Kluyveromyces lactis: one gene and its partners. The protein of the gene in region 3 interacts with the protein of the main gene of each other region in a pairwise test. Links are inferred from orthologs where the notes say so. Each region holds a gene or a part of one and is shown on either strand. Other genes may lie near its edges.

Region 1 (4,486 bases), about 1.0 Mb from region 3:
AAATTTCTCATGTACTTGCCATCTCATTTGCTCGGATAATATTAAACAAATAGAGTCTTCTTTCCCAAAAGATATTCGTGTCGATATGGTAGTATGCTTAGATCCTACGTGTAATCCAGAAGATCTGGTAATACAAAAAATTCGTCAGCAGAATAGACCCAAGAGAGGAGCAGATAGCAATGCTCCAGCGATCAGATTAACTACTATCAACTCCATCGACCATTGTGAACTGTATTTCGGAAAACATTTCAAAAAGGATTCAAGAGAATACCTTGTCAACGTTGCAGCTGCCGTGGTGGTGCTCAGAGACATAGTAGGGACATTGCCTCCAGATCTCAGGCCGATATACTCCCAAAATTTGAAGTATCTCTCTAGTTGGTTGAATGATCCAAACATGGCATGGCCTTTGCCAGATGTTTATCCGATCAGCATTTATACTGCAATAGATGTTGAAAAATCGTTATTGACAGAAGTAACTTATAGCCAGACAGGTAATGATTTAAAAGAACAGTTCATCAATGACAGAAAGCGCAGGAATAGGGGCCATTCGAAAGAAAGGTCTTCCTTATTGTATTATAAATCTAAAAGAGTTAAAAACGACTATTCCACCAATCCATTAAAACAAGATATGGCAGTTCTTACATGGGTATCAGCATCTGGCCGGCAAAACGGCGAAATTGATTATCATTTAGCCACTGATATCCTGACTCATAAAATGATCCAGTCCATTGAAAATATCTACGCTATGAATCAGAGACAAAAGTTGGAATTAGATGATTTTGAAAGAATGGAATCTATTCAAAATCATCATTTCAACAAGGTCAATAAGGATTATAATGATATTAAGGAAAAGCTTGAAGAATCCGAAAAGAAGCTAAAAGATGATGACGTTAAGGTAAAAGATTTCCTTGAGGAATCAGAAAAGAAGCACAAACAGATTGAATTCATAGATTCAGAAATTAATGATTTAATGACAAAATTAGGGTCTAAAAGCGAACCACATAAGGTTTTGAAGGGTTTACTAGAAGAAATTTCAAACTTGCAAGATGCCCGCGAGAGAGAAAAACGAAATTCGGAGTCTAAATCTTCTGAGAGAACATACATGCAAAAGGAGATAGAAAGAGCCGCTCAATCTGTTGATGAAAGCAACAAAGAACAAGATAAATTAAGAGAAGAAATCAAGCTCTTGAAAACGAAAATAGAGGACAGTGTAGCCGAAAATAAAAAGAAGGTTGCCAGTGCTGAACAGAGAATAGATCTCTTGAAATCACAACTACAACAGGAAGGGCAAAATCTTGGAGGGCTTCATTCTAAACTTGGATATATAACTGATAGACTATCGAAAATTCAACCCAGCAGAGGAAGACAGGCGACTAATGGCCGATCGAAGAAATGATACGTAATTTTAACATCCATAATGATTAACGTTTTTACAAATTTGCGTAGAATTAATTAGACTCCCCATTTGTTAACTGAGCGGTCCCAACCCGCGCTATATATATCAGGACCTACAATATCAATTGACATAACCTTATCAAGATGCCCTTCAAGGCTTCGTTCCTTTATCCAGTTCCCATCATTGAAGATATTTACTTTCTTGTCATATCCACTCGACACTAAATATCCTCCGTTTTGCTTATTGAATTTGACTTGTGAAACAATGCTATTGTGAGCTAAGATCGTTTCCACATTTCCCTTTTTCCTAATATCCCAAACCTTTATAGTCCCGTCACCACTACCAGACGCAAGCTGATATCCATTTTGGGACCAGTCAACGGAATAAATAGGTTTTGAGTGTCCCTGTAATGACATGATATTTTTACCGGACCGTATGTCCCATATTAATGCAATTGCATCCAAACCAGCTGTACTCACCAATGAGCCATCATTGTGAAAAGATAGTGAGAAAACCTCCGCAGAATGACCTTCCTGAATCAAAATAGGGGCTTGTTTCACAGTATCTATCAGGATCCATGTTTTGTCAAAAGACGTACTTCCAATAAAACTATTACATGGATGGCATCGTACTTGGGCAAACCTGGCATCATTTTTATACAAGATCTTAACTGTGGTTTCATCACCACTATCATATATTACAATGCGTCCATCATGGGTACAGACAAAAATGTTTTTAGAGTCCACGCTCCAATCCAATCCACTAATCTTTGTGCCAGATAAAGATCTATTGCAGTAGATTTTGGACAACGAATTATCGACCAGAGACAAATTTCCGGACCAACTGCCACAAGCCATCAGGTCTCCACCAGGAGAAGTATTAATTTCAGAAATAGGTTTCTCATCTATCACCTGCATTCCCTTCAAAGAGAACTGTTTCAATTTACTTTCCAGGTCCCTTCGCTTACTTATGACGTTTTTCACATTTTGGCTGACAAGTCTTCGTCTCTCCTCCTCAAGCCTCAGCTTAGAGCGTTGCATAGAGTATATTATAAGAAACTTCCTCATTTCTATCAACTGCTGTGATGCTGGAGTGTAGAACTCCTCGTCTTCATCATCTACTTTACTTCTTTCAGTATCGATTTTCGTCTGGTCTTTGGAAGTTGACTCTACTAACCTTGTAACTCGTTCTCTGGCTTTTGGATCGCTAAGAATAAGATCAGAAAGTCGATCTCTGCGAGAATAATTATCTTCGCCAGCGATATCAACGGGCTCTCCCACTAGCTCTAGTGCTCGTCTAACGTCTGTATCTAGAGTAGGCACAATTTTGAGCCTTTCTTGCCTTTGGAATTCCAATCTTTTCAGAGCATCTCCGACTGATTGCCCATCCTGGTTTTTGTAGTCAACATCTACCTGCAAATCATCTAATTCTACCATTAGAAGTTACTGCAGATAGTCCAAAGGTGAGTTGTTACCGGTGCCACTTTTTTGATTTCATCTCTTTATCATCTCACTTCTTTAAAAGCATATTCATAAAATGAACTTTATCGTTATTCCTGAATATGAATAGTTCAAAAGTTGGAAAACAAGTGAGGTACTCCATCGAGTAAAAAGGGTCTGAAGCTAGGCGTCGATCGAACGATCATGAGTGAACAGCAGTTGTTAAGAGATAAACACATTGATTATATTGCGTCTTTAGATACTAAGAAAGATGATCTAGAGTACTGGCTCTCAGAACATCTAAGGTTGAATGGGGTATACTGGGGATTGACAGCCCTCTATCTCCTTGATTCTATCGAAACATTCAATAAGGAGGATGTAATACAGTTTGTCCTAAGCTGTTGGGATCATAAAACTGGTGGGTTTGCTGCGTTTCCAAGACATGATGGTCATCTATTAACGACTCTTTCAGGGCTTCAGATTTTGGCTACTTACAACGCTTTAGAGCGCTTGGGTTCAGAGAAGCAAGAACAATTGGAAAAATTTATCCTATCCAATCAAAAAGCAGACGGCTCATTCCAAGGTGATAGTTTTGGTGAAGTCGACACACGTTTCGTATATACTGCATTGAGCTGTTTGTCCATTTTACACAAATTGACGAAAGAAGTTGTAGAACCAGCAGTTTCGTATATCCTTAGATGTTACAATTTCGATGGCGGATTTGGCTTAAATCCTGAAGCAGAATCTCATGCTGCTCAGGCATTTACTTGCATTGCTGCTTTAGCAATCGTCGGAAAATTAGACTCTTTAACTCCAGCTCAGCAGGAGAATATTGCTGTTTGGCTCTCAGAAAGACAAGTTCCAGAGGGGGGCTTAAATGGTAGGCCAAGCAAACTGCCCGATGTATGCTATAGCTGGTGGGTATTATCAACACTTTCAATACTCCAAAAAGCTGATTGGATTGATTTTCCCAAGCTAACGGAGTTCATTTTGCATTGTCAGGATCCCAAAAATGGAGGGATTAGTGACAGACCAGACAACGAAGTCGACGTATTTCACACGGTTTTTGGTCTAGGAGGATTAAGTATAATGAAGTATCCAGGATTAAGAGATATTGATCCAGTATACTGTATGCCATATACGGTGACGAAATATTTCCAACGCAAGTACTCAGATTAGTGTCTTAGAAACTTAAATAAATTATGAATGCTAACGACCGCAAAAAGTAGGTCCACAAGTAGTTTAATATTGATAAATTAAAATGGTAGCTCTTCCTCTACTAGAACCTTAGAAGCAGGGAAGAATTCTATATATTTGGCAGCTCTTTTGTGAATAAATCTACCGGGGTTGATCGTTTTGCATCCGTTGTACGTTACATCGAAAGCTGGTGCGCTAGTGTCACACAGCATGATACTCGATGGAAGCGGTGATAGCTGCAATGTGAAATCAAGATCCCAAACAGTTGGTCGAATTCTTGATGAAAACGGAGATAGATGTTGTTGATCGAGCAATGTTTTCACCAATTTCCTCGATTCTAAAACACTTACAGGCAAATTATTCTTGAATGCGATTAACTGGCCTACTGAAACATCCGGGTTTCTTGAATATTGCTCTTGAAGTTCTGCATTTTCCAGATATTTCTCCTCTTCCA
Region 2 (5,207 bases), on a different chromosome or scaffold from region 3:
CTCCTTATCCTCGAACTGTATCCGACAGAAAACAGCTCCTCTCAAGTATAAATGGACTTATAAGTTTTGTATGACACTGCAAATATCAGTTTGTGTATCTGATTTCGTATCTTGCTTCGTATTTTATATAGTTGCTGTCTCTCTTCAGTATGATCAAAAAAAAAGAAACAGTAACTCCAGAATAACTTTTTACCTAATCTCAAGCCTTACCCTTTCAATATTATTGCAGCCTTCTTCGCTTGGTATGCCAACATTAGCCTATACGCTTCGTATAAATACAACCACTGATCTTATAACGCAATACATTTATAACGCAATTCTGTATTCTCGACACCATGTTATGCTAGAAAAACTAAGAAAAACCCGAAGCCTCTAAGGGAAAACAGGATTGTCGTTAAAGAAACACCAGAGAAAACCAGAGAAACGGTGTTAAGGTTTCTCAAATTTGGTCATGTGACATTTTTTTTGCTTTTTCTTTGGTGTCCGGGTTCCTGCTTCTTCTTCCGTTAGGCGTTAATGCATGCATGAGACACATATGGTATGAAGCGGTAGAAAAGTAGAGGAAGTAATATGATGATTACAGAACCTTTGATATTTAGGTTACGTGATGATGGAAACAAGGGAGAAAACTGCTAGTAATCACCTTGTCAAATCAGTTAAACGCCGGTAGTGAGCTGAGGGTTTGTTTATATTATTTACAGAGTCGGATTGTCTGCGGGTTATATATGTACATGTAGTGATTTCTTAAAGACGTGACGAGTGAAGCAGTGAAAGATCTGAGCTCGGCTCAGCTTTTGCAACTGGAAATAGTTTGTATTTGCTTGTTTTCTTTTGTAACTCATAGAGAGATGTTTTGAGCAGCTGACTCCTGTTGTCTCACTCTTGCGAACTCTTCTTTGGCTCTTTCGCCTAGTTCTTTCAAAATTGCACTTTCCTCTCTGGAAACGTTCCCCAAACGTTCTAGTGTTGTGTGATTCAACTCTGGCAATACTGGGTTCCAGTATTTCTCTTTATCCCCCATTCTCCATTCGTCTTCCCAATGGACCTTAATGGACGATTGGACGTCTTTCAACTTTAGGAGACATTCTCGCAAATCGGCAACCGCTTCTTGAGAGTATGTTGGTCTGTATTGCGATGAGTACCATGTGTGGCCGGACTCATTCTTCTTTCTCATGTCTTTTGCCTGTTTACTGAATGTCACATCACGGAGATATCTTAATCTGCACAAATTCTGGTATACTTTTACACTCTTGTCGTAGTCTGGTAGATCAACAACAGCCATACATTTCCAAATATCACGTCTGGTGCTTGGTTTCTTATTCTCCCAGTTGGGTCTTTGGAAATTGGTATCAATTTGCTTCCAAGAAAAAGTCGGGAATTGAGAGTACAGCACTTGTCCACTCTCTAGGTTTCTGAATAAAAAGACTTGTGGTGCATACCCTGCTTTCTGTAGCCAGTTGGCTGGACGGAACTTGGTAATAGCTAAATGCTTGCTCATCTCTTCCTAGTGCCCTATGGTGTCTTCAAGCCTTATTTGTTAACAACAAAAGCCTTGATCCTCAGAGTTCTCTTCTATCTCCAGTGCTATTGATGGACTTCTGAAGAGTTATTTAAATACAATGTGTGCACAAATGTGGTGATCTCTTCTGTAATCAAGCTAAACTAACTATCAGCTTTCTCTTTTTCAAAATTTTTCAGCTTTTTCAGATGCCATAAACAACTTCGTAGAAACACTGAAAATTAAAGAGAATGAACCTAATATATACATTACCCGGATCTTGTGATGATATTGAATTCTCCGCTACCTGCTCTATCTTATCTTGGATCTCATCTCCAGAGAAAGGTTTTCCTATCAGCAGACACGCACAGTAGAGTTATCACCTTCATCCGTCAAGTGTCCGCATATTCCACCATCTAGAACTTGATGTTTGAATTGAATTATGGAGCCGTTCCTACGTCCCGGACAGATTGCTTAGCTAGAGTTCTCGATTGTGGAGATGATAACCGTGGATCGATAAGTGCCATTTGTGAGCCGGACTTGACAATTGACGGGAATTCAAGCCTAGCAAGCAGTGAGAATTATACCAATTGTAAAATCTGTGGAGGGTTTGCGAATTTTTTATGTTCAAGAGATTCACGAGCTGGGTGGTTTTGTTCTTTTTGTAATGCTTATAATGAACTAGGGAATATTCCATTATCATCGTCATACCTAAAACATTTAGGAACTGCTGCTGTGCCTACGCATTCCAAGTTCGCCATAATCATCGATCTTAATTGTGAATTTGAGGAAAATCTAGACGCGTTGAAGATGTTACAATTTGGTTCTGTCCAGTCATTGGCCCTGATCACGATTGAAGATGGGTCTGTCACTATTCATACTGACGGGTCACACATTACCGTAGATGCAGAATCTAGTAGTTGTATCAGCCATCTTAAGAAGCTTGACACAGAATGGTTCATTGCAAAGTATGGGCTTTTAGTGAGGAAGATTTGGACGGACCAAATATCTTTCGGTGCTAAACTCGCGGAACTTCTATGTCAACGGACTAGGTCAAAAAAAAGATGTAGAAGAAACACTGCACTCGCTATTTTTCTAGCACAATGTCTAAACCCATCACAATCCATTGCATTTGTTTTCGGACCCTGTACAGTAGCACCAGGTAAGGTTATCTCAATGGACCGAAAAAATCATATCAGGCAGCATAGAAATATAGAGGAAGACAAGGATGTGAAATATTGGAAACCTTCTAGAGAATTTTACAATAAAATGAGTAAGTCCTTAAAGTTTGCTCCATGCACGGTATTCGTCGCATCCATGGATCAGGTCGGAATATGGGAGATGAGATCCTGTTTGAACAACTTTATTCAATACGAATCCTTCAATGATAGAAATTTCATATATGATTGGCAGGCGTATATTCAAGGGAAAGGATGTTATGAAATAACCAGAATTGTTATCAAAACTTCTAACAAGCTATTACTGAATGGGATCTTTGGTCCAGTCTCATCCTTGAAAGACAAGGACACACATGTATCTGACACTCCAAAGGGCTTTGGAGGGTCTGGAACCTTCCGTTACAAAGGGCCAAGTAGTAATCTACCATCAATTTTGATAAGTTTATCTGTTGATACATCTCGCAGCGCTGCTGAAGCCTTGCAAGAAATGCCAGATAAATTTTCCTTTCAAATGGAATGCTACTATAAACACTTGAATCAAGAATACGTTTCTGTAGAAACGAAATTTATTCCCAGTACAACCTTACCAGGTGAACATCTTTTAACCCAAAATTTCCACTGGGATATAATGGCTGGATCCATAATGAAAAAAATATCTTTCGCTGTCTTGTTTCAAGGCAAGTTTTATGATTACGATCTAAGGTGGTGGACGTTAGAAATAGTAAAACTTCTTAAATCATTGAATGCCATCGATGTTCCTGGCATTAAATCCTTACAAGAAGTAACGTACTTTATGCAAAGATCAACTCTCTTAAGGAAGAGAAATACATCGCCTGACGAGTGGATCGTCTACCATTGGACAATTCTGAATTCCCCTTTAAGTCATATATTCAAGATGGTTAGACCCCAAGTGTATTCGACCACAGGGCTTATTCAAAATACAACTGACATCCTTAATTATGCCGAACCTTTATTGGTAGATGGTGGTAACGTCCTTGTGGTACGAGATACTTCAGTAGGAGATAGCAGAGTTGACAGTTTGAAGGCAGCTGCTGATACCATATACCACGATGGAAGTCGATTTCCAAAGCCTTGGTATCGAGAAACCAAGCCAGGTGCTAGTCAGGATAGATTTGTAATTGCACGACTAGGCTTAACTGCAGAACATTCTTTGCATTCTGATGACCTCACGCTTGATAAATACATGGCACTGTTTAAATCAAAAAGTACTGCATGAAAAGTATGTAATCATTCATTTTACCTCTCAACAGATATCATGAACTCTATATATATATAACCAAAACCAAAAGGTTAGAATAGTTCCCCATTTACTGTCGCAACCTTCGAATCTATCGCTCCCCCTTTGAATAACAATTGTATGGCAGGAAAAGATACTATGTACGTATTCCTTGGTTTCTCCATCTGTCGCTTTTCAAAAATGACATATTTCATTTTTTAAAAGATACTATATAATTAAATCTAACCATTCTTTCCGAATAGCACATTAAAAGCCAGAGTCCAGAGGAAAAGAAAGAGAAACTGCAAGCGCGAGCCATTGGGTCGTTTCATTAGGGAAAGAAAGATGAACTCCACTTCCAACCGGACTCAGGTATTTTATATACCTGTTGGCCTAACTCAAGTTCAGAAAGATTTGTTGGAAATTTTAATCTCGATACATGCAGAGTCGTTTGTCTCATGTGTAGATAAACGTCTACTGCCAGAACTACAATCTAAATTAGAAAAAAAAGGGACAAATCTCAAAAGAGACTTGAGTATGACTGCATTAACAGATGTTCAGTTAACTGAATGGTTCTTCGAAAATATAAGAGCTGTCTCGAATCACCCTTGCCTGTTAGTTGAGCATTATATGCCTAGACAGTTTTTGTTAATGGAACCAACTGAAAGGTTGATATACACCAGCGATAAATTTGGCAAGTTAAATCTAATGGTTGATCTTTTATTGAATCGTAAGGACAAATCGAGGCCATTGCAAGTTGCTATCATTTCACATTCTGTGAAAGAATTGGATTTGATTGAAGGCGTCATGTTGGGAAAAGTTGCAAAGTTGAAGAGGTTATCTGGAACTTCTTTGTTTGACGAAAAACATGAATATGACGATCAAACTTCTGGTTCAAGAACAACCAATGGTGAAAATTCATCAAGTTCTGGTAGCGTAGCTCCTGAGCAAATCGGAAAATCGAAAGATGAATACAACTACTCTAAGTCAAGACGTAAGAATAACATATCTCAACTTGACTGGTTGTTTTTGGCAACAACCACACATTTGACACACTCTGAAGATTTACTTTCTAGGTACAATCTGGATCTTATCATCAGTTTTGATCCAATGCTGGACGAATCGTTACCATCGATATTCAAAGTCAGGAAAAATGGCAGAAAAACTCCTCTGTTTAAGCTATTGGTCCAAGATTCTCCGGATCACTATTTGTTATCCAAAAAGAAGCCAACTACTACTTCCGAAAAGCTAATTTTGGATTCCATTGTTCATTTTCTAAAGTATCGTGCCGATA
Region 3 (3,579 bases):
GGGCCATTTCTCCGACGATTCAACTCCATGGTATAATACCACTTTCCTTAACTTTGAATCCATTACTTATGATTTGCCTGGTGATGGTGGCGAATAATCTCCAACTATACAATCTGATCTCACCGAAGGCTACTCAACCTGCTATGATACTATTGAAGTCGTCTGATATACTCTCTCTGTACCCTCTGTTCATCAGTTTGTTGCAAACAATATTTAAAACTTGATTCATTCATTTAACTTCATTCTATGGTTGATATTAATTTCAATTAGACACATAATGCCACATGTAGCGACACACAATGAGCGATACCAGTGAAACAATATGTTCCATGTGTCAATTGTTCTACGTGAACAAATGGGTGCTCGGTACAGGTGGTGGTATCGGCATTAAACAGGACAACATCGCATACATATCACCAAGTGGCATTGAGAAAGAACTGTTGGAACCTGAACAAATTGTTAAATACAATATACAGGACGATACTTATCAATGTGGTGCGCCTGGATTGAAACCCTCTGCGTGCACACCGTTATTCCTGGAGCTATTCAAGACGCTGGGTGCCTCGTGCGTCATACACACGCACTCTATCAATGCGGTGCTTTGTTCAATGATATATGAGAAGGAGTTTACCATCAAGGACATTGAACAAATCAAGGCGATACCCAAAGGTGACGGTACCAATTTGAGGAACGTTGATACCCTACGTATTCCAATCATCGATAACGCTCCAGAAGAACAGGATCTCATGCCAGCGTTGAAGCAAATGATTAAGGATTATCCAAATGCATGTGCGGTACTGGTGAAAAGACATGGACTCTTCGTTTGGGGCCCCACGCCAAAGAAAGCCAAGATATACATCGAGTCCATCGATTACCTCTTTGAAGTAGCTCTCAAAATGAAAGAACTCGGTCAATGAAAGGGAGACCAGCAGCTGTGTATAACATTATTTATATTTCATCTGTTAGCCCATCGCTCACTCCAAATGTCTATTTCTTCTTTAAACGGTAACTTATTCTTACACGCTGGGAACTTCTGAAGTTTTGCCAGTTCTTTTTCTTCTGGTATATCATCTATCAGCCCACATAATACCACTTCACTACTCCGTATAATGCATATCTTGCTGTCCTTTAAAAGAATCATGTTTCCCGCATGATCAAACCCTTTCATTTCACCATAGTATGTGTCTCCATCGACATTGACCAACATCACCTTCTTGTCCAAATAATCTTTCAATAGAGCACTCATTGTCCATTCACTGTTCTAGCAAACAAGGGGGCAGTTATGTGGATATCTTCGCTCCGATGGATCGTTATCTTTTCTTCGTTACTATTATAATTTGAAAGTAATGTTTTCTATTTGAAGATTCTCTATTATCAATAACAACAACATCTTCAACAAAGAAGAATCACACATCATAACAGAAGTATACAGGCTTCTACAGCAGTTATCTAGAGTTGTGTTGTGGCTAATATTGTTAGAAGCTCCGAATCACGGTTGAAATGGCGGAAGAGAATGAAAGTGAGACCGATTACGGGTCTTCTCCCTTTAAAAAGATTCCAGACGCCGACAAACAGATCTTAGAATGGACTAGTCGTCTAGAGTTGGAGACTGTGCAGTTGCGGGACACGTCTGAGAGTCTATTCAAGATTATCAAGGAGAACGTGGATGAATTGAGCCATTCGCGAAAGTTATTCCAAGCAGAACTTGACAGTAGAAAAGGTATGGTTTCTATGCACAATGAAAGGAATATCTACTTAGTATAAGGGCATTTACTTAGTTCTATCTACGTGGATTGGTCGTTGATTGATACCCTTTAGGAATGATTCTTTGTAAGAGTCACTACGGTCAGTTTTTACTAACTAGGAAAATAACGGATGAGACTCCGAGAAGTCGCCGTTATTTCTGTGTGTATTTAGATGGTAATCAAGAAACGGGAACGGAGATTGTCTCTGAAGTAAAGTCTCGTTTGGATCAATTAAAGGCATCAAGCGGTGAAAGTTTGCAACTTTTAGCGGATAATATTACGAAGCAGATGGATAAACGACATCGAGAATGGATGGACAGATTTACCATGAATGAAAATGTCATGTTCAATGTCGTGCAACAAATGCAAGACCTCACGGATGCCATCCAGACGTTGCATGAAGATATGAGGTTAGCTAGCAAGAGGCAGGCGTTGCTTGAGAAAAGATTGAGACATGAATCTATCGCTACGCCTGAATCTCAACACCTAAATCAAAACCAGACACAACGACTCAGGGTATTAATCCCCTGGGAAGAAGTTCAAGAGTGCGAAATGAAATGATTGACCACATTTCTGTCGGCATCGATGGCAATGGTAAGATTTGTTTTGCCGAACGCGGTGTTCGGGTCAATGAAGTTTTTATAATATAGTTCATAACAAGGCATATATCTATCAACAAACGCCTTCACTTGCGCATCAGTCATTCCTTCGCCCTGAGATGCTAGCATAGCATGCTCTTGTTGTAACCTCCACCTATATACATTGTTGGTGTCGTCAGTTGCGAACTTGATACCGACAGTATCCAATGACTCATTATTCCATAGCAATTGTCCGTACTCTTTCAACGAACGGTTCACTTGTTTCAGATGTAACAACTGGTGGTTCAACAGTATAGGTGACGAATTTTTCCTTTCCAATTCTGTTTCTGTAATGGCTTGGAACCCAAGGAACCATCCCTCGATGATCACACAGTCCAATGGCAATTCAATATCAATACTGCCAATCCTGTCTCCTTCTCCGTTAAATCTAGACTTGTCATATACGGGCAACTGGATCTTTTTACCATCATGCACTTTGTCTTCATCATTTGCAAGCTCTTTCAATGTCTCTTGCAATGCTTTCAAGTCATGAGTGCCCGGTAACCCCCTTCCATGTAGTAATTTATTCTCTGGGAATGCTGACTGTAACTTCAATTGGTCCTCATGGGTCAGATAAAAATCGTCAATGGATGTCAATGCTGCTCTCACGCCCTTCTTCTTCAACGAACGAAACAATATCTCACTATTATACGACTTACCAGACCCTTGTGGCCCGGAAACCAACACAAACAAAGGACCTTTCCTGTCACCTTGAACTTTCCGTTGTTCCAATTTCTGTTCAACAAACTCCACGCTTAACTCTGCAACGTTCATTTCTATTGCAATCTCTCTTCAAACCCAGCAATCCAATACCATACGGTGGTTTCAGTCTCCAATGGTTGCAGATCTTGCCGGTAGCTGTGTTTGCCTTTAAAGGTTTCGTCTTCAAATTGTTCTCTTAGGCAAGAATTTCGGCGATAATCAATTCATACCTTTAAAGGTTTGATGACTCTCATGAACAAAGCCTTTGAACACACCAAAAAAAGAAGAGAAAAGATACCATACTCCACACCGTTGTGACTTCAAAGAGGGGTATACTGGATTGGTATATATACGGGTAGATACTTAGACCAGTTACCAGTGCTACTTAGGTGTTAAGTAGAGAGAACAAGACAGTTGAAATATCCTACACGACACTGGAGATTTGGAGAAATAAAGTACTAGCTCAGAATGAACAAGCTTCACTCTTTGTTACG

Evidence for each region.
Region 1: the proteins of LSM8 (region 3) and PRP4 interact in binary tests that used the Saccharomyces cerevisiae proteins (3 or more experiments, as listed by UniProt). The link is inferred for Kluyveromyces lactis from reciprocal best matches to the Saccharomyces cerevisiae genes LSM8 and PRP4.
Region 2: the proteins of LSM8 (region 3) and NEL1 interact in a two-hybrid assay, tested with the Saccharomyces cerevisiae proteins (2 studies listed by BioGRID). The link is inferred for Kluyveromyces lactis from reciprocal best matches to the Saccharomyces cerevisiae genes LSM8 and NEL1.

Annotation. Positions count from the first base shown.
Region 1 is NC_006041.1:426,624-431,109, reverse strand, and holds PRP4 (U4/U6-U5 snRNP complex subunit PRP4), read right to left. Parts: upstream 2,833-4,486; coding exon 1,453-2,832; downstream 1-1,452. Other genes in the region: HDA3 (Hda3p), read left to right, coding at 1-1,396; Rab geranylgeranyltransferase BET2, read left to right, coding at 3,040-4,014; DPB2 (DNA polymerase epsilon noncatalytic subunit), read right to left, coding at 4,092-4,486. UniProt on the Saccharomyces cerevisiae protein: Involved in RNA splicing. Is required for the association of U4/U6 snRNP with U5 snRNP in an early step of spliceosome assembly.
Region 2 is NC_006039.1:893,098-898,304, forward strand, and holds NEL1 (GTPase-activating protein NEL1), read left to right. Parts: upstream 1-1,924; coding exon 1,925-3,913; downstream 3,914-5,207. Other genes in the region: MHR1 (mitochondrial 54S ribosomal protein mL67), read right to left, coding at 839-1,498; HDA2 (Hda2p), read left to right, coding at 4,259-5,207. UniProt on the Saccharomyces cerevisiae protein: Acts as a GTPase-activating protein (GAP) for SAR1.
Region 3 is NC_006041.1:1,466,803-1,470,381, forward strand, and holds LSM8 (U4/U6-U5 snRNP complex subunit LSM8), read right to left. Parts: upstream 1,247-3,579; coding exon 956-1,246; downstream 1-955. Other genes in the region: KLLA0_E16413g (uncharacterized protein), read right to left, coding at 1-63; methylthioribulose 1-phosphate dehydratase MDE1, read left to right, coding at 300-917; TDA10 (putative ATP-dependent kinase), read right to left, coding at 2,285-3,157; TES1 (palmitoyl-CoA hydrolase), read left to right, coding at 3,554-3,579. UniProt on the Saccharomyces cerevisiae protein: Component of the nuclear LSM2-LSM8 complex, which is involved in spliceosome assembly. The LSM2-LSM8 complex plays a role in the biogenesis of the spliceosomal U4/U6-U5 tri-snRNP complex by accelerating PRP24-mediated annealing of U4/U6 di-snRNA.